4 linked regions of the Arabidopsis thaliana genome follow. The main gene of each other region encodes a partner of the protein of the gene in region 3 in a complex. Each region holds a gene or a part of one and is shown on either strand. Other genes may lie near its edges. The genes, in order: ARPC1B, ARP2, arpc2b and ARPC1A.

Region 1 (6,442 bases), 800 kb from region 3:
AGAAAAATTTACCTATATAGTCTGCAATCTCTAAGACGTTGTGCTTTTTCTGAAAGCTACGAAGATCACAATATGCTTGTAAACAAATGCAAAATACGAGTTGTTCCCCGCAGATGCTAGATCAAGATAGAATCTGTGAATTAAGGCAGCTGGAATACTTTCACTTAGTTCAGTTTGGGCGGGAATCAAGAGTTAAGAGTTCTCTGAAACAATGCTATATACTTCATGAACGTGGTCCAGAAATTGAGTGAAAACATTTGCACGTACTTGGAATTTTCCCGATATGTGTTCTTGGTTTCACATTTGGTCTGTGTATAAAGTCACCTTGCAGCTTCCTAAAGGACATACCAGTGGTCAAATTTTCTAACCCCTGAAGACCGTACGTACGTGCTTCAGTTGATGTAAGCCATGTTTTGATTACACAGATATTAAGCGGAGCTTTTGATTCCCCGATGATTATGTCAGATGATACTAGTGTCAGCTTCATTCTGGATTGTATATATCATCACAGATGAAAAGATTCATTTCAAGTTTGTTGATATATAGCATTCATTTCTGTGGTTGTTGTCCGGAGAACTCATTCGACACAAAGCTGAAAATGTTATTATGTTAATATACAAGATACCAACTCGTATAATGAATCAAATGATAGAGCATTCAAGATATTACAAAGATCCAGAGACAAGGGCATAGCTCAAAACTTAATAACACCTGCCCTTACACAAACCAGGAAAACATGGCCTTTATTATGCAGTTTACCAAGTGTGACAATTACGAAATTGGAAAAAGGTGAAAAGGCTAGTCGAAACAAAATCTGATATACAAATTAAGTAAGCTGACTACTGATCCAGATTTTATTAAAACTGATTGCCAAGTTCTTGTTGCATGTTCTCTAGATCCCATATGGCTATTTTGCCATCCAATCCTATAAATAATAAACCGAAAATGCGAGCTAATGAAACCTGTCATTTTGTATGAATTGAATCGGGTGATTCCATGAAGGGTTATATAAATTTAAATTTAGTGACTGACCTGAAGTGCTGAATCGCATAACTTTAGGACTCCCTCCTTTGCCCAGAGGCACAATGGAACTGCAGGTAAACTTCTACGTCAGCTCTTAACAGATAATCAAGTAAAAGAGCTAAAGAGACAGTTTTTTGGCAAATGATTTGGTACAAGCCAAGTTAGATAAAGAAACAATTACGTTATGCTGTTATCATGAACGCCTCCACGTGAATCAGAAGCATCGTTGGCTGTTGTAGACTTTGATTGACTACCGTAGAATTTTCCAAACGCTTCGGAAAACTGAAAAATAACATAATGAACAGATGTGTCAGACACAACACAACAAAATAATGCAAGTGGAAAGTCGTATCGTAAATCCAAGAAAAAAAGAAAGAGAGGAACTACACTAACCCCCAAAGATTACGATCTTTAGAGGAACAACTCAGGGATAAGTTAAAGTTCAGTCATATTTTTTTCACTAAAAGGCTAAAACCAGACATATTGCAATATAAGAAAGAAGATTTGGTATGTACCTGCGAACTGTAACTGGAACCTGAAGATGCCGCTTTCTTCTCTCCAATGTATCTTATGAAGCTCCTACAGACCAAATACAAAAACTTGTAAACGAAGCAATTATTGGTAGTGGTTCGTTTCAGAACCAACAATCCGGCCTGTGATCTAAGAGGAATAAAAGAACTGAAAATTTGATAGTATGCAAACCCCTAAGAAAGAGAATTTTAAGCAGATATTTCTGAGAGTTACACACCATATTCCAGTATCATCTGCAGCAAATACCATCGGGTTGCTGTCATATCCAACCCCTATCACCATTTTCTCAGAAATAAACAGGACCTGAAATAGCAATTTCCCCATAATATATCAATTCAGGACATAACACACCGGAGAAACCAGGTTCTCAAAAGTAAAATAAAGGTGGATGCTGACCCACATCACGAAGAGGCAAATCTCGGAATGCAACGCTTTGGGCTAAAGGAGAAGGGCCAACATCATCAACAAAGTAAATCATGGAGCTATGACCTATACATGATTACATAAACACGCAAAGTATGACAGATGGTAGTAAAAACTGCAACCAAGTTGAAGTTCCATTGTATTATTTCAGTAGAGCGCAATGGAAAAACATCCCAAGTCTGAAGGATTTTCTGACCTACATATGCTAAGGTGTTTCCACTTGGAGACCATTTAACACCAAATGCCCAAGAATATGAGAGATCAAGCTGAAGAATTTGCTGTTTCAACAAAGCCACAGTAGAAAAAAAAACTCCCTAACATTAGATGAGAGAGTAGACGGAACATATATATGGCACAAGAATTATAATATTTACTAAAAGAAGGAAAGCCAGCCAAACTAGTCGAACCTCCCCAAATTTCGTTTCCGCTGGTGAGCCTGCTTTTGAATCCCTGTATCAGCCCATTGAAAGAAAAATAAGAAATGGCCTCATGTTTGAAAAAATGTCTTAAAAGTAGACGTTCAAGTAATGAGCATACTTTGTGTCAACTCCTTTGATGAATGTTGAAAATACCCGACATTTTCCATCTGTTGATGTCGTTGCCAGAAGAACCTAATGCATAACAGACAATCAGAGAGCACAGCAACATAAAAAAGCATACGAGAAAAAATGATTTAGAAGATTAACTAGTTTGTGGAGATTGATATTCTATTTTTAGGGATCATGTACTCTATACTCAATCTGGTGGCCAACTTATAGAATATTTTTGGTAGAGAAAGCTTTTACAGAGAGCCTGCTTAATATTTTGGCTACATGAACTACAAGAGGTTCTGTTGATTGCACGTACATTATTAGGATGCCAAGCAACAGATGTGACTGAAGATTCGTGCCTTTTCCGGATTAGCTTACTGACCCACCTGCAAACAGTAAAGCCAAGCAATGTCAGATACTAAAAGTTTACATGAAAGTATCTTTCTAAAATCTCTAAACAATACACAGTTATGCATGCCAAGATAATAAAAAATATGATTGGTGCTAATATCATGCCAGTACATAAGACAAGATAATATCATTACATAGACCAACAACACCATTCGTAGCAAAGAAGTCAGGAAACTTGCCAAAGAAAAAATCAAGGACTAATAATGAGAATTAGGAGCAGAAGAAGAAAATACCAGTTATTCTCTTGCTCATAATAGCAAATACAAACAGTTTTAGCACCACTTCCAACAGCAAACTTGTTCTCTATGGGTATTGAGCAAAAAGATGAGAACATAGATTAGAAGCTGTAGAAATTATAGGAAAATTACATGATATATTACGGAAATTAAGCTTAAGAACCAGAAAAATTAAACATTTACCTTTGGGGCTCCATTGGACACAAAGTGCAGCACGATTTAGTCTAAGAATAACGAGAGTTGGTACCCATTCAGCTCCTTCCAGGCTCCAGACGTACCTTCAAGAAGCATTCTAAACTCAGTTCAACGAACGAAAAAAAGTGAAGGACTAAGATTAACAGGTTTGGAGTTTCTCAAAGTATATCAAAGGTAGCAACTTACGAGTTCCTGTCATGAGAAACAGTGACGATTTTGTTGGACTTTGAGCTCCAATCTATTCCAGAAACAATTTGGTCATGCTGCAACAAGACGAACAATAATCATGAAGTTGTTGTAAGGGAGATTCAAGCTGTCTATACAACACTTATCAGCGACAAGTGATCAGTGAAATGAGAATACATAAATATACGAAAGTAAGGAATTCCCAAGAAGAGAAAGCAAAAGGAGTGCAAGTTCAAAAGTTACAGAAAGAGAGGGAGAGAGAAAGGTTTCACCTTTTGGAGGACATGTAACCTCTCCCAGTGGTCTTGAGACAATGATTTATAGATATGAACTTCAGTGTTGTTAGGACAGAGAGCAACCACTACCAAGAAAAACGAAACAAATGTCAAAGCACATAAATGGTTACAGGCTTTAGTACAGACGTTAAATCATTTGTAACAATAGATTTGGTTCATCTGTTTAGAAAAGCGCATCTACTAATGTACAATACTAGATACCAAGTGCTCCTAACAAGAGACACCGACAAACAGACATATAAAACATTGACTCGAAAATTCTCAATTATAGGGATTTAGAAGAAACTTGATTACCAAGATGTATAAGAATAACACAAGTCAATTCAGAAAAACTAACTAAAGATCCTCCTCATTTATAATTCTAAAAACAGAAAAACGACGGAAGAGAGAAAGAAGAGAATCACAAAATCAGAGAGGTGTTAGAAACATACTGGAGAGATCAGGACTCCAAGCATGGCAAGTGATTGACTCAGCGAAACGATGAACATCCACCACTGCCATGAGTGATCCTTGTTGTCCCAAATGTGTTGTAATGAAGACAGTCTTTTCTCTCAAATTGACATCTACAGATTTCTAAAACGGAGTCGTACGGTGAATAGATGGACAGATAATTATGATGAAACGCCGATGAGATCCGGAGCTTGACGACGACACAGTCGCAAACGTGAAGTGAAAGTGTAAGTGAAAGAGACGGATGTTTTTGTTTGTGTGTTTTATTTTACTCTTATAGCCCAATTTTTTATGACCAGATCATTTTCTATTTTCCTTGGCCCTGTCTTAGGGGCGGCCCAGCATAATAATAAGCAAAAAAAAAAATAAGATCTAAATTCTGCATTAGTTAAATACTTAAATATACATAATTGGATTTAATCAAATCCATCCATGTAAAAATCTGAACTAAACCTCACTATGAGTATGAGTAACTTATAAAGTCATTCTATATATTCAGTTTTCGAATCCCAAATAAGTTAACATTATAGTTTTCTCAAAATTAATTACACTGTATTAGTCTTTTTTCTAATATATATATTAACATTTCTTAGAAAATAAATATAAAATTAGACCGAATTTTTTTTTTTTTTTTTTTTTTGGTTGGAGCGACTAAATTTCTCCATCGGCGAAAGAAAAAAAAAACAAAACGAAAAAAAAAAAAAGTTTCTCGATTCAACAAGCGTCCCTTCCTCCTTGGGGATTCACAGGTTTGCTTCTTCGTCGATTTGATTCTTTGAATCTTTTTTTCCCCTAGGTTTAGGTTTCGCTATTGTTTCTACGATCGAAACTAGGTCTCTCTATTGTTTACTGCAACATTTGATTCTCAATTTCATATCACCGATTTGTGTTTATCCCCTGGAATTAGGAATGATTAGGGTTCAGATCTCGTAGGCAATGAATTTAGGGTTAGAGAAATAGCATCTGTTTGGTTTGTTTACCTAAAGAATGAACCCTAAAGGCTTTGTTCTGTTTTACGATTTTGTTTAAGGTCTTAGTTTTTATCTTTAGCTCTTGTCATTCTTAAGCATGTTGTTAGTTGTTACTATTAAGAACTTTTATTCTCTGTTCTTGTATTTTGGTACCTTATGAAATTAGTCTTTTATGCAGATTTTGAAAGCTAATCTTCAGCTATGAGCACAGCAACAAGGCCTTCCTCTTCAGCAACAACTTCTGTCATATTAGAAAACCCTGTTTCTCAATCACAACCTACTGAAAGATTAGTGCTTCGGTTGAACCGGAAGAAGAAGAAAGTTTCATGGAAAGATGGGACTGTAGACAATGAGTTTATGCAGAAGAAGAGTTCGAAGAAGTGTTGCATCTTTCATAAACAGAAGCCTTTTGATGAGGATGACAGTGAAGAAGAAGATGATAACAACCATCACTGTGATCATAACCATGAACACTCCGAATCTGGTGAGGCATCTTCTTCTAATGATTCTAAAGCCGTTGACTAATCAATCAGGTTTTTTCACGTTACTATATATTGAAGCTTTTTAATAGATCATGGAAGAACACACATTTGTTGTTTTGGTCTCTTCTCCTATCTAACCCTGGTTGGGCGTTATGTATATGTACAAGTAATTTGCAGATTCATTGCAATGTTAACTCCTTCATACTCTGTTGAAAATGATGTGAATCATTGAAGATTGCTAATTAGTTAAAGAATTACAAGGATGTTATATTTTCTTTCTACATTTGAATATGCTTTTGCTTTTGCTTTTGCGACTGCATACTATTTCTCAAAATGCAATGTTCGGGTTTCATCAATTAAAAGATGAGCACTATATTATTTTCCCAGTAGAATAGGATTTGCAAAGGGTAAGTATAATGTTTGGGTTTCATTGGCCGATGTTGGGATCAATGCAGCTTCTGGATCAGATGGGTTGTGATTAGGATCGATAAAAAAATATGACCGATATGGCAGAACGATGTAGCTACTGGTCGGATGGTTTGGTTGGCTAGATCGGTGGCTCTATGACCATGATGGTTGATCGATGCGGGTTATTTAGTTGGCTCCAGGGATATTGGATCTGCATTTGACTGATGGGCACGGCCAATGTGGCTTATGAGGGTTGTTTGAGGAGTCCTAGATCAGTCATTGGTGAGACCGATCCCATGG
Region 2 (5,866 bases), on a different chromosome or scaffold from region 3:
CAAGGCTCAGGTCGTTAAAAGGATTGGGTTTTTTTTTGTATCTTCTGGATTTGAAAAAGCTTTTGGCTTTTGTTTTGTGATAATATTGTTGTAATTTGTACCACCATGGAGAAGAAAAAGAAAAGGTTATATACTGAGTGAGAGTGATAATCTATACTTATTGAAACCTCTGCAAAAACACAAGGTGAGTTCAATTTGAGGATGATGATACAAGAGAGTGGAATCTTCAAACCTTTTTTTCCGAGTGTTTGTGACAATTTTTTGGCAGTTGTTGTTTGAACTTGCAGGTGGAGTTTGTTGAATACACACAGCCAGAGATTTTTTTGTTTGGAGTCTTTAAGTTGCAGAGAGGCTTGTTTTTACTTGTTCTGAGTTTTGTTGCTTTTGAATATCAAGAAACCGGCTTTTTTCAGATAGTACAACAATGGTAATGTATACTTGTCTTCCATCACATATTTGTAGAATGAAGATTTATAGCTCTCTTTTGCTCAGTATTCTTCTATTGCATCTCCAAAGATTGTTCTCTTTCGTTCGATCTCTCTGAATGAGTTAAAGACTTTCGTTTAGAGTCGAGTGTAAAACACTTCGCTGCATGTTCTGATTCAGTGGCTTTGAGCTGCAATGGATTTCACAATGATGGTAACGTTGTATTCTTTAACTCTTACTTACATTCATGTTATTGCCCTGAGTGTGCCGTTAACTGTGGGAAGGTTTTGAACTAGGTACAAACCCTTCGCAGTTGGGAACCAAATAAGCTGGTATTGCATTTACTCTTTGCCTTGCAAGCTTTTTCAAAGATAAGTATAAATTGTTCAACGAGTCAAAAAGTTTATATCATTTTACTCATTTTGACTTGAATTTGACGGAACTAAGGAAAGAGACTAAGAGAGAGAGAGAGAGAGAGGTTAACGAGTCAAAAAGTTGCTTGATCTCTATGATTTGTCCAACCAATCAAAACAAGTGAAGAAAATTCAAAAACATTCACAAAGCTCTCTCTTTCCCTTTTGAGCAATGATCTAACTCAACACTATGGTCCAAATACAACTCCAATAGATCCATTCCAAAGCCTCCCTCATGATGAGAGCGTGACTTAAGTTGCTTACTCTTTTAATTTCCATTCTCTTCGACACATTGGGCAAGGAGCTTGACTTGTCTACGAATTCTTCCATTTCAATATACAGAAGTGAAGATGAAACGCGTGGTTACTTTGAGGTCTAAGACATGCAGTTTTGTTCTTACCAGAACTAAATAAAGCAGCTTAGCAATGTTCCAGTAAGCATGAGAGACAGTGTGTGTCCTAATTAACCTATATAAAAGTGAAAACATGAAAGCTGATTTTACATCGAACAAGTCATTGGACTTGTGTGTGTGAAACTGTAAAAGTCTTATCTTATTTTTACTATATTGGTGACTGATACATAACATGTTGTGACAGGAACTTAATTTACAACATGTTATGTAGAATAAATTTTAGTATTGAGACAACATAGAGACAACAAAAAAACCTAGAAGAAGATTGATATCCCAACTTCGTACCAAAACCCTAGTAACATCTTTCTCGTAACATAACCCTAATAGTGATTGAAATCTCTGATCAAGGGATTGCATGATGATCATTTACTAATTCTTAGTTTAGATCATCTAGAAGATTGTTATACAAGTAAACAGAATTATCTGTTTGACCTAATATGGGCCTGAGATAGCCCATCAATACCCACAACCAAGTTAACTCCATCTCAATAATTCGAGAAAAGGGGTAACGTATTTAATAATTTTTTCTATGTATTGACCGTTTGCACTACGTGACGTTTTCACGTAGAGTAAACGACGCGCATTCTTATAAAGAAACGAGGAAACAGCTGCTTTTTGTTTGTCGAAGAGCAAATATGTTTTCTCGATCGCGACCAAACAAGTAGAGAAGAGTGATTCTTCGCTTCGATTCAAAGACAGGTTTTTTCTTTTGTTCCCTGAGAGATCGAATCGAAGAAATCGAAATTTTTGTACTTCGATAAAAATCTGTAGTCTCTATAGAAATCGGAGAAGATGGACAACAAAAACGTCGTCGTTTGCGACAACGGCACCGGTGTAAGCTTCTTCTCTCTGATATCTCTTGTTTCAGACTCCGAACTTTAGTTGAATCTGATCAATCATTCCATTCCTATCTGGGTTTCGTTAAAAATCTCACTTTTGAGTTTGTTTAGGATCTAGTTGTCTTAAAGTTGCAAAATTTGAAAACTTTCATGTCTTAGCATAGTGTAAGATCGTGTTTCTATTGAAATCAAAACTAATACATGAGAAATCTCATAATGGGTTGCTTAAGTTTTGAGTTTCTTGTGATGGGAACAAATTGTGAGCCTCTTATTAAATTTTTCAGTATGTAAAATGTGGATTTGCTGGAGAGAATTTCCCAACGTCTGTTTTCCCCTGTGTCGTGGGAAGGCCATTGCTTCGGTATGAAGAATCACTCATGGAGCAACAAGTCAAGGTTTGTAGATATGTGACTTTAAATAAGCAAAACCAGATCATTGTTAGCCTTTTGAGTTTTGACTGAGCTGATATGCGTAATTCGGATTCATATACGTTTTGGTTTTGTTTCATTTTAGGATATAGTTGTTGGGGAGACTTGCTCTGAGCTCCGGCATCAATTGGATATAAATTATCCTGTCCACAATGGTATTGTGCAGAATTGGGATGATATGGAACATGTTTGGGATCATGCTTTCTATAACGAATTGAAAGTAAGTTTCTTCTCCTGCTTCTTCTTGCCATTTTTGTCTCGGTTCCATGTGTCTTGACTTACTCTTAAACCCTTTTTGTTATTAACAGATCAATCCATCTGACTGTAAGATATTGCTCACGGATCCACCTCTTAATCCGTCCAAGAATCGTGAAAAAATGGTAAGATATTATCAAGTCTTTGGTTAAGAGTTGCTTTGATGGTTGTTGGAGCAGTGATTTATTTTATGTTATAAAACAGATTGAGACAATGTTTGAGAAATACAATTTCGCTGGCGTTTTCATTCAAATCCAAGCCGTTTTGACTCTCTATGCTCAAGGTGCTTATGGAGACTATTGAAGGTTTAGATTTTCTTTCGTGTGTTTAGATAGTCACCTGTAAATAGCATTTATGTGTGCTTCCCTGATATTTTTCTTCATGTGTTGAACTCTTGGTTTCAGGTTTGCTAACTGGTTTGGTTATTGATTCTGGTGATGGTGTTACTCATGTGGTAAGCTATAAACCTCTGTAATTTTTTAGATCATATATTGCTTATAATAGAGAAGTTAACCGTCTTCGCCTCACATCTTAGGTTCCGGTGGTTGACGGCTACTCGTTCCCTCATCTTACTAAAAGAATGAATGTTGCTGGCAGACACATAACAGCATATCTCGTTGATCTACTATCTCGACGAGGGTGAGAAACTGATTCATAGACTCACATTCATTTTAATGATGTTGAGATGTTTTAAATTAGCTAAACTAAAAGACTGTTTGTTCAACAGATATGCGATGAACAAAACAGCTGACTTTGAGACGGTTAGGGAAATTAAAGAGAAGCTCTGCTATATAAGGCATGCAAAGACCTCTTCTCAGCTTTCCTCTAATATCTGTGTAGTAATGCATTACTAGAATAGGAAATAAACACAATTTGTTTTGTCTTTTTTTGCAGTTATGATTACAAGAGAGAATCTCAGCTTGGCCTTGAGACAACTATCCTTGTTAAGAATTATACTGTAAGTCTCTCTCCTGGTATGAACCTGTCAGGTGTGTGAATTTTCAAGGTTTCGATGGCAAATAGAGGCAAGAAACAGAAACTAGTGTACGTTAAGCTAATAGGAATCCAAACTCATGATCAGAACTAAATAGATAGCAGATTCTTGGCGAACTTGAGCCTGTAGAGAACTTTAAAGATTCGTGCCATCATTCCTTTGTTCTTTTTGGTAATGAAAGAATGATATTATCATCTTTTCTTTTCATGACATCGTTTCTCTGTTCTTGGGCGCTGTGTTTGGGATTTTTCATCCGATAGTCGATAAAGTTTCATACTTGTGCCAGTTGCAGCCTCTAAAGCTGATATTATCACCAAATTATTTTTTTTCCAGAGTACTAACCCGTTGTGTTTTTGAACTGTGATCAGCTTCCAGATGGGAGGGTTATCAAAGTAGGCACTGAAAGATTCCAAGCACCTGAAGCGCTTTTTACTCCGGTAAACCTTCATCGCGTCCTCTGCTAATTTCTCTTTTGGAATAGTTTCAACCCTCCAAGAATCTCGAGGCTGATCACAACCAAATATTTTTTCAGGAACTCATTGATGTTGAAGGTGATGGAATGGCAGACATGGTTTTCCGATGTATTCAAGAAATGGATATTGATAACCGCATGATGGTTCGTGTGACTCTTACGCTTGCTTGGTATTTCAAAAGAAAGATCCAACAAAACTAATCATTTATCTGTCTTAAACCCTTTGCTCTTTTTTCACAGCTCTACCAACACATAGTTTTAAGCGGAGGTAGCACCATGTACCCAGGATTACCTAGCCGGTTCGTATATTTTTTCTTCATCATAACCCAGCAAGAAGTTCCATTGTTTTATGTTTCATTGTCTTTTATTCTCTGTTTGTTTCAGTCTTGAGAAAGAAATACAGGATCGGTATCTCGACACAGTTCTAAAAGGAAACAAAGATGGCTTGAAGGTAAAAAAGATGATTCTGATAATGCCATGATCACTGTCAGTCATTAGCTCAGTTTTTAACATTTATCTTCGTTTTTCTTATCAATCAGAAACTCAGATTGCGGATCGAAGATCCACCGAGAAGGAAACACATGGTATACCTCGGAGGTGCTGTTCTTGCAGGAATCATGAAGGTAAGAGAAAAGTTCAATGCTATTCTCTCTTTTAACACGAAAGCATGAAATTTTAGTCTGTGTTATGATGTTAAGAGAATTTGGATTCGATGTTGCAGGACGCACCAGAGTTCTGGATCAATAGAGAGGACTATATGGAAGAAGGAATTAATTGTTTGAATAAAATGAGCCAAGCTTAATAACTTTCAAACGCAGAACTCATACTTGTACTTGTACCCCTTTTTTTTACTACCGTCAGGATGATTTAATTCCGTTTGTGAATTCAGTATTTTAGGTTTCAAAGTTTGAGTACAATTGGTTGCAGTTAGGGATCCAAAATTCGACATGTGATTGGTGGGATATACAGAAAAACGTGTATTAACTAATAATGTTGAGACTAATATATTGTGTAATAACCAAAGCCAAAAGGTCGAGAAGAGACGAAATGCATATATCTTAATTCTTGAGTAAGCAAACAGAGTCAAAACAGTGAAAGATTATTTGTAATTTTGAAAAGGAACCCTATTTCTTGCCACACAAGGTAGATCCCTATTGTTTTCTGTTAAAACCCAAAAGATTGCCACAACTCTGAATTGATGGAACCAGCTTCCTTCTACTGCATGTTCTGCAGCTAGTCTAAGTACAGCAGCTTCAAGCTAGATCAAAGACAAAATGATTACCTAACCTGCCATGAGTAAAAAAGGATTTGAAAACTTTTAAATTAACTAGAAACAAAAAAAACTGATTTACAATCCCAAAATAAAAAACTGTAAAAACTTTTTGAGGTCTTAATATGGGCTTTGGCCCAATAACGGCAACACCGTGTCAGAAACGTTGGTGTTGGTGACTGTTAAACTACCTCAACGACATATAAAACATTATGAGCGTTGGCCCAATAAAGAGATATAGGCCCATAAAGTTATAGAGAAATCACCCGGTGGTTCATCCAAATCTAACCACGACGAAGATTATTTCCAAACTGCTCAAACTTCTCCGGCGAGTTTTGGAGACATTATCGGAAAACG
Region 3 (4,731 bases):
AACCCTAAGCTCCCTAACCATTAACCTCAATTTCGCTTCAGTATTCAGGGGTTTGAATTTGATCCTGATACAAAACAAAAGATAAATATGAATCTAACAAACCCTAATCACAAAATCTGAAAATTTGTGAATTCTAATATATCAAAGTCAACGCTTGGATCATGAATCAAGATCAGGATACGAAATCAGAAAACTGGAAATGAGAAAAAGCATTACTTACGTAGTAAAATGGCTGCGTTTTCTCTCGATTAGACGAACGAAAAAATCTCAAATTTTCTCGAGGAAAAAAATCAAAACTTTGACAACGATTAACACAAACAACAAACACCCATATCGAATTTCAACAATAATCGAATCCAACAATCCAGGGAAACCTCGAATTTCCCAAAATTTTGTTCTGATCCGATAACGAGAAAAAAAGAAAAGGGAAAGTGAAGGATTGAAATCTGAGAGACGCGTTTCTCTCAGCTGAGTTCTGATTGGGTGTCGAGAAAGTGTGCGAAAAGAAAATTCGTTAAATAAGGAATTAACGGCTAAGATCAAACTTGAGATATTTTTGTAGATGAGATTAAAACTTGTTTTGGCACACGGTAGGTAATCTCGTTATGAGATTATACTTCGGCCGTTGACTAATCATTTTTAATTAGCAAACTTGCAACTTTTTAATTACTTGTTTTTTTGGTTAAACAACAATATTTTAATTAAACAACTTGTTGAGCTTTTATGTGTTCTATAATTTAATAAGCTTTGAATTTTTCATGTTGACAAATTCAATATAGACTTCTAGATTTATAATTGATAATAAATTAAATTGATAGAGGTCTAGTTATCTTAGCATATGTATAGTTTTATGTGACTAAGATTACTTTTATAGTTTTAAATTATATAACAAATCAGGGTATTTTACAAGTTGTATTATCAAAATGAATCTATATAAATAAAACATGAATTTATATATTGATGGTCATCATAACAAAGACACATTTTGCTAAAAGATTTTATTTTCCTGTTTCATAAAAAAATAATATTAATAAATAAGTTATAAATTCATGTCAGATAATATGGTTTTACAATGACCATTCTTTTACCCTAAGTAAACCTCACGTCCACACTGAATAGAAAGAAGAATTGTGACTTAGTATGTGGGGTAAACTAATAACTATATGTTGGTGAAGTCAATAATAGCTTGCGATTTGTGTGAAACCGACGCTTAATGTTCATTGGATTAGCTTGGATTACATTCCAAGTATTGCTTTTTTAATGATAAGATTAATGTCCACATAATGACAATAGAAAAACAATCATTTATGTTTCTAACAGTAGAATTTTGCCTTTGAGGTTGAATAAAGATCAGGGAAAAAATATATGAAAATCTCATTTTCCATGGTTTCGATATTTTAGATGTAATCTAAGTTTTTGGAAAAAACACATTCTACCTCTGTCAAATTCCTTCTGTGTCATCACGGGACCGTGCGAATCGGCGTCCATCGGATCCCACAGCTTTAGTCCGAAGGCTGAGAAAGCATTAAAACTCTTTATCAACGGGCCTATGTTTATATTCGGCTCACAGGTACATCCACATGTTACGTTTCAGTGGCAGATACAATAGCTAAAATGTTTTCTTAGAAAGAAAGATAAAAAAATGATTGCAAATTTAAACTGACATTTTACTCAACATCCAACAATTCACCAATGCACGAAAGAAAAAGCGCACTTATTAGGCTCTCACACAGATATATGTGCAATGCACACATAAAAAGTTATAGATTGATGACATTGTAAATTATAATTATTGTACCCTCAAGTTTCTTCCGAGGTGTTTCAAGAATGGCATATCTCGAAAGAGCCTCTCCAACGTTGAAAGAAACACTCCTCAAGATATACCGGTAAGCCACACTCTCTCTTTTATTCTCTGGTCCAATTTCATTCCCGGTTTAGCTACCTCCGTACCTAACAATATTTTCCGGCTTAACTTCAATCAAGATTATTTGAAATGATTTTGTTAGTATGGTTAGTAAACATTAATTTCCAACTAAAAATCAATTGGCAATAAGTTCATATCCAATGCCAATGTGAGACATTATAACATAAGGTTATTGAATCCATGGCAGTGCTGAAAAACCTATTGAGGTCGATCAACATTTCCATGAGTTTGGTTCGATTGAATACCATATCAAGGTATATTTTTGGGGCTTCCTTTTTTTAATAATAATCTTCTTTCTTATTCGATTATATGTGCTCTTACAAAATGAAATATATATGATTTGGACATGCAGTACTCGGTTTCGGATCCAAATATTGTGCATGTATCGACGTCGACGTTGCTTGAGACACAAGGAGCAGTGACATTGAAGGAGATTTCAAGTTACACTTATGAGGTGATTAAGAATATTGGAGTTGGTGTGATTGACATCGTTGATCCACCAAGATTAGGGTTTCAATTGACCCTTGGCCTAAACCTTGATAATATACCACGTGGCAAAGGTAAGCTTCAATATTGAAATGTACTTTTTCCCGCTACTTAGTTATTATAAGTTTTTTTCATATTTACTCATTCAAATGCAGAAGCGATTAAAATCATTACAAGGATTTCTGAACTACAAGCGATAATATTAAGTAGCCAACTAAAAGAGATGCTGAGAAGTTTAAATTTTCAAGATGATTCACGATCGATCAACAACATGCCCATCAGGATTGTTTATCACCCAAGTGAACCTTTCTACGTCTTTAAACAGGTTTATTTTACCGCGTTTTATTCGTTTATCTGAGTTACATCCAACTAAATATAATAATGGATAGAGACCAACGTCTAAAATTTATCGAATAACTATAACTATAAGAATAAGTCTTTGAATGTTTTTTCAGCCGGAAAAAATCACGGCCGTGTTTCCGATGAATTTTAAAGACAATTCGGATGTGGTCATCGCCACGTCATTCTTCCAGGTACAACTAAAATGCATACAATCAATGGGTGGGACTAGAGTTTTGCATTGAGACGTCACTAAGGTTTCCTTTGTCAAATTTTATCTTTTTATGTTAAAAACAAATTGGACAATACATATAAAAAGGAACTAGTTGAAGTGGGAAGCCAAAAGGATATGGGAAAAGCCCCACAATGTAGTTGGTCGCCAATTCCTCCTCTCCAACTTAGAGGAGAACCGGTTCAAGACTTGACCACCAATTCTGGTTTTGTATCATTTGGTACGTTTTGTGTCATTTTATCTGTTTATAAAACTTAATCCAACATCTTTAATTAGTATTCTTAAATGTCAAAGTTCAAACAATTCTCATTGCAGATATTACTTCACGGCACATTGAAGGAAAGAGACTGGACAAAACGGTTTGGAACTTGCTAAATTTCTACGCATGCGCTAAGTACCATATTAAGGTACATTAGTTCTAGTTTTTCAAATAAAATATAATAGATTTTGTGTTCTTGTAATTGAAAATTTTCAACCTCGTATTGTTTAAATAGTGCTCGAGAGGGTACATACAGAGACGGATGAGAAAAAGAATGGAAACTTTAGTTAAGGTATTTTTATCATATATTACGTACACACACGAATCTACAACAATAGTTGACATTTCATAAACAAAATAACGTATGTTTGTAAATTTACATTATATACGTAGCTGCTAAATAACACAAGCCTAGAAGAAGAAGCTGCTCAAAATGGTATCCTTTTTTTTTGTTACCTTTAACCTTACTTAGGTTTGTATATATAAAAAAGTTATATTATCATTTTTTCTTTTCCATTCTCTAATTTCTATATAGAAAACGGAAGATGCAAATACGTAAAGGAGTTTGTGAAGGTACCAAAAGGTAAATTGATGATGAAACAAAGATGCAAGGAGATGACAAGGAGAGTGAAGATAAGCAAGTTCCGGATCAAAATCAACGGTTGTGCTCGGTTTCGATTCAATCAGCGGTGGATATCTCTCCCCAAATTCTCTTCGAAACCATCAGATAAATCATACACAAAATTGGACTAAGTAATCACTTAACTTGGAAAGTCTCAAGAAAGAGGCTCGGTGTTGTTGTTTTTTTTCTTTGTCAACATGCTTTAAAATTGAATTCGGGGAGCAATATTATACGTTAATGAATATCTTGACAACAAAAAAAAACGTTATCAGATAAACTTATGGATATAATTTGGTAAACCAAAAATAAACCTAATCAAAAGTTGGCATTGAATGCAGCATGTTACGTAAGAGCTTTGTACAAGTACCATTCACTCTTTTTACTTTTCAATGTATACAATCATCATGTGATAAAAAAAAAAATGTAACCAATCAACACACTGAGATACGGCCAAAAAATGGTAATACATAAATGTTTGTAGGTTTTGTAATTTAAATACTTTAGTTAAGTTATGATTTTATTATTTTTGCTTATCACTTATACGAAATCATCAATCTATTGGTATCTCTTAATCCCGCTTTTTAATTTCCACCGCACACGCAAATCAGCAAATGGTTCCAGCCACGTGCATGTGACCACATATTGTGGTCACAGTACTCGTCCTTTTTTTTTCTTTTGTAATCAATAAATTTCAATCCTAAAACTTCACACATTGAGCACGTCGGCAACGTTAGCTCCTAAATCATAACGAGCAAAAAAGTTCAAATTAGGGTATATGATCAATTGATCATCACTACATGTCTACATAATTAATATGTATTCAACCGGTCGGTTTGTTGATACTCATAGTTAAGTATATATGTGCTAAT
Region 4 (6,287 bases), 1.0 Mb from region 3:
ATGAATGGTGCAGATTCAACGGCTTAGATTTTCTGGGAAGGATAATGAAAGGGAAGAAACTGATGTTCGTAGGAGATTCACTGAGTCTAAACCAATGGCAATCTCTCACGTGTTTGCTCCACAACGCCGCACCAAAAGCCAATTCCACATCCACACGTTCCCCTTCTGGCCTCTCCGTCTTCTCATTCCCCGTAACGTTTTCTAACTTTATCAAACTCGTTCCGGTATTGATCCGGTTTAATAATTCTGGTTCGGTTCGTATTTAAATGCATGCAATGCAGGCTTACAATTCTTCGATTATGTTTTCAAGAAACGCGTTTCTTGTGGATATAGTCGGAGCCCCACCGAAGCGAGTGATGAAGCTTGACTCAATCTCGAGTGGTTCGTTGTGGAAAACCGCAGACGTTTTGGTCTTCAACTCTTGGCATTGGTGGCTTCACACAGACCGAAAACAACCGTAAAATCATCTTTATGTCGTCAAACATATTTTGCTATGGACTATGGACTTATTAGTATCTAACTAATGTAATCATTTGGGGTTGCAGATGGGACGCAATTATGTCCGGGAATGTAACGGTTAAAGACATGGACCGGTTAGTGGCATATGAGAAAGCAATGATGACTTGGGCTAAGTGGATTGATCAAAATATTGATCCTTCCAAAACCAAAGTCTTCTTCCAAGGTATTTCTCCGGACCATGGCCGGTAAGTTCTACCTCTATATAACTTCTTTTTTATTCGATACATACATTAAATCAACGATAAAAACTTAACACGATTGATATATGTTGGATTAGTCTATAAGTTTTCGTTAGAACCAAATAATTTCATGTTGATATTGTTAACAATAATGGTACATAATGTTACAGGGCAAGGGAATGGTCGAAACAAGGTGGCAAAGGCAGTTGCATAGGAGAAACAAAGCCGATTATGGGATCGAGTTACCTGGCTGGGCCGCACGCAGCCGAGATGGTGGTGGCGAAAGTGATAAAGACGATGAAGAATCAGGCGCGGTTAATGGATGTGACATTGATGTCTCAGCTAAGGAAAGATGGACATCCTTCAGTATACGGTTTTGGCGGTCACAGAATGGCGGATTGTAGCCATTGGTGTCTCTCTGGAGTCCCGGATAGCTGGAACCAGCTCTTGTATTCTGAGCTGTTTCATTCTTAAAATTTTGATGGTTTTGACACAAAACTAAATTCATTATATGATTTATACATTTATTTATGACCTAACCATGTTTGTGTTGTTTTACACATTTATTTTATGTCATAAACATGTTTATTTAGAATTTCAAATTCATTTGTCAACCAAAATGTTTAAATGAGAACAAGATTCTTTGACTGGTCGAACAATTTATAAGAGAAGAATTTGCAAGAATATAACCTTATGATCTCGTTATAATTGAATGGACTAAATATGTGTCCTGAATCTCTAAGTGAGAGATTAGAGGAAGACCAAAACTAGAAGTAAACCTTATTCCACGAGAGGGGATAACTAGCGTAGCTTATATAATAACTTTGTACAATGATTTGGGGTTAAGTTATTTTTGGATTATGCTAAATCAAAATCTAATATAGTGGTGCAAGCCCCTTGACTTGGGTCAATGATTCAAAAGCTTATACAAAAAAAAAAACGAAAAAACTAATAGTAAAACATTACTTTAGAAAAAAGTTACTAATCAATATTTTTTTAAAAATTTCAGATTACTTTATAAGTTACTCTATACTCATAGACTCATAGTGAGATATAGTTCTATTTTTACATGGATGAATTGGATCGAATCCATTTATCTACATTAATGTATTTAACTAATGCAGAACTTAAGCCTTTTATCGGAAAAAACAAAAACAAAACTAATGCAGATTACAGAACTATAGATTTAAAAATAAAAATAATTCGATTTTTTCCTTATTATTATGCTGGTTTGCCCAAAAATAAAGGTCCAAGTAAAACTGAAATTGATCTGGTCATAAAAATTGGGGCTTTAGTAAAAAAAAAAAAAAAAAAAAAAACATCTGTCTCTTTCACTTCACGTTTGCGACTGTGTCGTCGTCCACCTCCGGATCTCATCGGCGTTTCATCATAATTATCTGTCCATCTATTCACCGTACGACTCCGTTTTAGGAATCTGTGGATGTCAATTTGAGAGAAAAGACTGTCTTCATTACAACACATTTGGGACAACAAGGATCACTCATGGCAGTGGTGGATGTTCATCGTTTCGCTGAGTCAATCACTTGCCATGCTTGGAGTCCTGATCTCTCCAGTATGTTTCTAACACCTCTCTGATTTTGTGATTCTCTTCTTTCTCTCTTCCGTCGTTTTTTCCGTTTTAGAATTATAAATGAGGAGGATCTATCTATAGTTAGTTTGGCTGGGAAGATAGATAGATGATACAACTAAATTGACTTGTGTTATTCTTATACATCTTGGTAATCAAATTTCTTCGAGTCAATGTTTTATATGTCTGTTTGTCGGTGTCTCTTGTTAGGAACACTTGGTATCTAGTATTGTACATTAGTAGATGCGCTTTTCTAAACAGATGAACCAAATCTATTGTTACAAATGATTTAACGTCTGTACTAAAGCCTGTAACCATTTATGTGCTTTGACATTTGTTTCGTTTTTCTTGGTAGTGGTTGCTCTCTGTCCTAACAACACTGAAGTTCATATCTATAAATCATTGTCTCAAGACCACTGGGAGAGGTTACATGTCCTCCAAAAGGTGAAACCTTTCTCTCTCCCTCTCTTTCTGTAACTTTTGAACTTGCATTCCTTTTGCTTTCTCTTCTTGGGAATTCCTTACTTTCGTATATTTATGTATTCTCATTTCACTGATCACTTGTCGCTGATAAGTGTTGTATAGACAGCTTGAATCTCCCTTACAACAACTTCATGATTATTGTTCGTCTTGTTGCAGCATGACCAAATTGTTTCTGGAATAGATTGGAGCTCAAAGTCCAACAAAATCGTCACTGTTTCTCATGACAGGAACTCGTAAGTTGCTACCTTTGATATACTTTGAGAAACTCCAAACCTGTTAATCTTAGTCCTTCACTTTTTTTCGTTCGTTGAACTGAGTTTAGAATGCTTCTTGAAGGTACGTCTGGAGCCTGGAAGGAGCTGAATGGGTACCAACTCTCGTTATTCTTAGACTAAATCGTGCTGCACTTTGTGTCCAATGGAGCCCCAAAGGTAAATGTTTAATTTTTCTGGTTCTTAAGCTTAATTTCCGTAATATGTAGTGTAATTTTCCTATAATTTCTACAGCTTCTAATCTATGTTCTCATCTTTTTGCTCAATACCCATAGAGAACAAGTTTGCTGTTGGAAGTGGTGCTAAAACTGTTTGTATTTGCTATTATGAGCAAGAGAATAACTGGTATTTTCTTCTTCTGCTCCTAATTCTCATTATTAGTCCTTGATTTTTTCTTTGGCAAGTTTCCTGACTTCTTTGCTACGAATGGTGTTGTTGGTCTATGTAATGATATTATTTTGTCTTATGTACTGGCATGATATTAGCACCAATCATATTTTTTATTATCTTGGCATGCATAACTGTGTATTGTTTAGAGATTTTAGAAAGATACTTTCATGTAAACTTTTAGTATCTGACATTGCTTGGCTTTACTGTTTTCAGGTGGGTCAGTAAGCTAATCCGGAAAAGGCACGAATCTTCAGTCACATCTGTTGCTTGGCATCCTAATAATGTACGTGCAATCAACAGAACCTCTTGTAGTTCATGTAGTTAAAATAATAAGCAGGCTCTCTGTAAAAGCATTCTCTACCAAAAATATTCTATAAGTTGGCCACCAGATTGAGTATAGAGTACATGATCCCTAAAAATAGAATATCAATCTCCACAAACTAGTTAATCTTCTAAATCATTTTTTCTCGTATGCTTTTTTATGTTGCTGTGCTCTCTGATTGTCTGTTATGCATTAGGTTCTTCTGGCAACGACATCAACAGATGGAAAATGTCGGGTATTTTCAACATTTATCAAAGGAGTTGACACAAAGTATGCTCATTACTTGAACGTCTACTTTTAAAACATTTTTTCAAACATGAGGCCGTTTCTTATTTGTCTTTCAATGGGCTGATACAGGGATTCAAAAGCAGGCTCACCAGCGGAAACGAAATTTGGGGAGGTTTGACTCGTTTGGCTGGCTTTCCTTCTTTTAGTAAATAGTATACCACTTCTGCCATATATATGTTCCCTCTACTCACTCTCTTATCTAATGTTAGGGAGCTTTTTTTCTGTTGAAACAGCAAATTCTTCAGCTTGATCTCTCATATTCTTGGGCATTTGGTGTTAAATGGTCTCCAAGTGGAAACACCTTAGCTTATGTAGGTCAGAATATCCTTAAAACTTAAGATGTTTGTCCATTGAGCTCTACTGGAATTATAAAAATGGAACTTCACCTTGGTTGCATAATTTTTACTACACTCCGTCTCACTTCCCTTGTTCATGCAATCTTGTTTATAGGTCATAGCTCCATGATTTACTTTGTTGATGATGTTGGTCCTTCTCCTTTAGCCCAAAGCGTTGCATTTCGAGATTTGCCTCTTCGTGATGTGGGTCAGCATCCACTCTTTTTTTTCTTTTGAGAAAGTGTTCTCATGTGTTATATCCTGAATTGATATATTATCGGGAACTTGCTATCTTCAGGTCCTGTTTATTTCTGAGAAAATGGTGATAGGCGTGGGATATGACAGCAACCCGATGGTATTTGCCTCAGATGATACTGGAATATGGTGTGTAACTCTTAGTTTTCTCTTTCTTAGCTATTTCCAGACAATCAAATACTTCAATTCATTAATTCTCCTTAGCTCTCAGGCCGGATAGTTATTTCTGAAATCATCCACACACCGATGATTGCCTTGTTTACAAGTTTTTGTTTATGGTCTGCAGGAGCTTTATCAGATACATCGGAGAGAAGAAAGCAGCATCTTCAAATTCCAGTTACAGTTCGCAGGTACATACCATGTTTTCTTTCTTGAATAAAATATGAGTGAACTTAGCTTATTCCTGAAGTGTTCCTCTAAGATAGTAGTAATCTTTCGGGTTAGTGTAGTTGCTCCTTTTTTCTCCTTGGGTTTACTACTTTGAACTTTCCACTTGCATTATTTGTACTGTTTTGTCTAATCCTTTTTTTCATTATGTTATCTTTTCAGTTTTCTGAAGCATTTGGAAAATTCTACGGCAGTCAATCAAAGTCCACAACAGCCAACGATGCTTCTGAATCACGTGGAGGTGTTCATGATAACTGCATAAAGTAATTATTTCTTAAGCTAACTTTTCTTTTACCAAATCATTTGCCAGAAACCTGCCTCATTAACTCTTTTACTTCGATTGTCTATTAAGAACCTGACATGGAAGGTTACCTGAAAATTGCAGTTCCATTGTGTCTCTGAGCAAAGCAGGGAGTCCTAAAGTAATGCGATTCAGCACTTCAGGTCAGTCACTAATACAAAATGGAATTAGCCGATTCAGTTCTCAAAAAACAAACCAGCAGTTTCATTTACTCGCATAACGGTTTGTTATTTATAGGATTGGATGGCAAAGTTGCCATATGGGATCTGGAGAACATGGAACAAGAACTTGGCAATCAGTTTTAATAAACACACAAATAAAACAATTCTGGCTCACAAGCAAGGTTTTACTTAAGTTTAAACTACTTTTTCAATTTCGTAATTGTTTCACTTTGTAAACTGCCACAATAAAAGGCCTTATTTTCTTGGTTTGTGTAAGGGCAGGTATTAATAAGTTTCTTGGCTTCATGATTTGATTCATTTAGTTAGCATCTTGTAATACCTTTTATATATAGTAATATCAGCTTTGTGTCGAAAGGAGTCCATATTGAACCAAACACAACAATTTCGCAAAATTTTCAAGTTCTTGAGAAGAAGCAAAAAGCTTTGGTCCTCCGAACTATGCCATATTTACCACAAAACGAGATATCGACAAACATTAATCTTCTATCAGATGACAGAAGTGTGATTCAGAAGACCAAATATTCTTTGAATGTTTCTCACTTATTGCAAAACAACTACTGTCCTCGTCCTAAGCAACTTCCAGAGTACCTAGTTTTTAAAGCATGAACTAGAGTTGTAACTCAGAAGCAGATATGCAGAGAAACACGACTTGGAACGATTGATTATATGTCTCCAAGATCCTTCCTTTTCGTCCCATAAGCAATATAGTTGACACTAATATCATCTGACAATAACCATCTTCCTGTTATTGGGTTGTACACAAATCCAGCTATCTCTTTCACCTGC

Evidence for each region.
Region 1: arpc2b (region 3) and ARPC1B share a complex: the UniProt entries of both Arabidopsis thaliana proteins name them as parts of the arp2/3 complex.
Region 2: arpc2b (region 3) and ARP2 share a complex: the UniProt entries of both Arabidopsis thaliana proteins name them as parts of the arp2/3 complex.
Region 4: arpc2b (region 3) and ARPC1A share a complex: the UniProt entries of both Arabidopsis thaliana proteins name them as parts of the arp2/3 complex.

What each region holds. Positions count from the first base shown.
Region 1 is NC_003071.7:13,345,456-13,351,897, forward strand, and holds ARPC1B (actin-related protein C1B), read right to left. Parts: upstream 4,545-6,442; 5' UTR 4,333-4,544; coding exon 4,263-4,332; intron 3,897-4,262; coding exon 3,808-3,896; intron 3,613-3,807; coding exon 3,536-3,612; intron 3,433-3,535; coding exon 3,338-3,432; intron 3,222-3,337; coding exon 3,152-3,221; intron 2,894-3,151; coding exon 2,824-2,893; intron 2,589-2,823; coding exon 2,515-2,588; intron 2,428-2,514; coding exon 2,385-2,427; intron 2,256-2,384; coding exon 2,174-2,255; intron 2,044-2,173; coding exon 1,955-2,043; intron 1,858-1,954; coding exon 1,772-1,857; intron 1,603-1,771; coding exon 1,539-1,602; intron 1,306-1,538; coding exon 1,205-1,305; intron 1,092-1,204; coding exon 1,033-1,091; intron 926-1,032; coding exon of another isoform or gene 858-925; exon of another isoform or gene 593-857; coding exon 522-592; downstream 1-521. Other genes in the region: INH3 (inhibitor-3), read left to right, coding at 5,454-5,777. UniProt on the Arabidopsis thaliana protein: Functions as a component of the Arp2/3 complex which is involved in regulation of actin polymerization and together with an activating nucleation-promoting factor (NPF) mediates the formation of branched actin networks.
Region 2 is NC_003074.8:9,951,962-9,957,827, reverse strand, and holds ARP2 (actin related protein 2), read left to right. Parts: upstream 1-1,845; 5' UTR 1,846-2,043; coding exon 2,044-2,085; intron 2,086-2,374; coding exon 2,375-2,485; intron 2,486-2,603; coding exon 2,604-2,738; intron 2,739-2,826; coding exon 2,827-2,898; intron 2,899-2,977; coding exon 2,978-3,056; intron 3,057-3,177; coding exon 3,178-3,227; intron 3,228-3,308; coding exon 3,309-3,412; intron 3,413-3,500; coding exon 3,501-3,569; intron 3,570-3,667; coding exon 3,668-3,731; intron 3,732-4,135; coding exon 4,136-4,204; intron 4,205-4,299; coding exon 4,300-4,383; intron 4,384-4,479; coding exon 4,480-4,538; intron 4,539-4,623; coding exon 4,624-4,690; intron 4,691-4,778; coding exon 4,779-4,862; intron 4,863-4,960; coding exon 4,961-5,041; 3' UTR 5,042-5,349; downstream 5,350-5,866. Other genes in the region: TCP20 (TEOSINTE BRANCHED 1, cycloidea, PCF (TCP)-domain family protein 20), read left to right, coding at 1-18. UniProt on the Arabidopsis thaliana protein: Functions as ATP-binding component of the Arp2/3 complex which is involved in regulation of actin polymerization and together with an activating nucleation-promoting factor (NPF) mediates the formation of branched actin networks.
Region 3 is NC_003071.7:14,146,866-14,151,596, reverse strand, and holds arpc2b (actin-related protein C2B), read left to right. Parts: upstream 1-1,694; 5' UTR 1,695-1,827; coding exon 1,828-1,886; intron 1,887-2,111; coding exon 2,112-2,178; intron 2,179-2,276; coding exon 2,277-2,484; intron 2,485-2,565; coding exon 2,566-2,735; intron 2,736-2,865; coding exon 2,866-2,943; intron 2,944-3,068; coding exon 3,069-3,201; intron 3,202-3,296; coding exon 3,297-3,388; intron 3,389-3,475; coding exon 3,476-3,532; coding exon of another isoform or gene 3,533-3,592; exon of another isoform or gene 3,593-3,633; coding exon 3,634-3,676; coding exon of another isoform or gene 3,677-3,702; exon of another isoform or gene 3,703-3,775; coding exon 3,776-3,993; 3' UTR 3,994-4,215; downstream 4,216-4,731. UniProt on the Arabidopsis thaliana protein: Functions as actin-binding component of the Arp2/3 complex which is involved in regulation of actin polymerization and together with an activating nucleation-promoting factor (NPF) mediates the formation of branched actin networks.
Region 4 is NC_003071.7:13,151,246-13,157,532, forward strand, and holds ARPC1A (actin-related protein C1A), read left to right. Parts: upstream 1-1,543; 5' UTR 1,544-1,652; intron 1,653-1,927; exon of another isoform or gene 1,928-1,993; 5' UTR 1,994-2,201; coding exon 2,202-2,271; intron 2,272-2,641; coding exon 2,642-2,730; intron 2,731-2,925; coding exon 2,926-3,002; intron 3,003-3,105; coding exon 3,106-3,200; intron 3,201-3,316; coding exon 3,317-3,386; intron 3,387-3,644; coding exon 3,645-3,714; intron 3,715-3,949; coding exon 3,950-4,023; coding exon of another isoform or gene 4,024-4,042; intron 4,043-4,110; coding exon 4,111-4,153; intron 4,154-4,250; coding exon of another isoform or gene 4,251-4,274; coding exon 4,275-4,356; intron 4,357-4,491; coding exon 4,492-4,580; intron 4,581-4,674; coding exon 4,675-4,760; intron 4,761-4,917; coding exon 4,918-4,981; intron 4,982-5,180; coding exon 5,181-5,281; intron 5,282-5,403; coding exon 5,404-5,462; intron 5,463-5,556; coding exon 5,557-5,624; 3' UTR 5,625-5,787; downstream 5,788-6,287. Other genes in the region: TBL43 (TRICHOME BIREFRINGENCE-LIKE 43), read left to right, coding at 14-191, 282-457, 546-704, 869-1,172; COQ3 (coenzyme Q 3), read right to left, coding at 6,164-6,283. UniProt on the Arabidopsis thaliana protein: Functions as a component of the Arp2/3 complex which is involved in regulation of actin polymerization and together with an activating nucleation-promoting factor (NPF) mediates the formation of branched actin networks.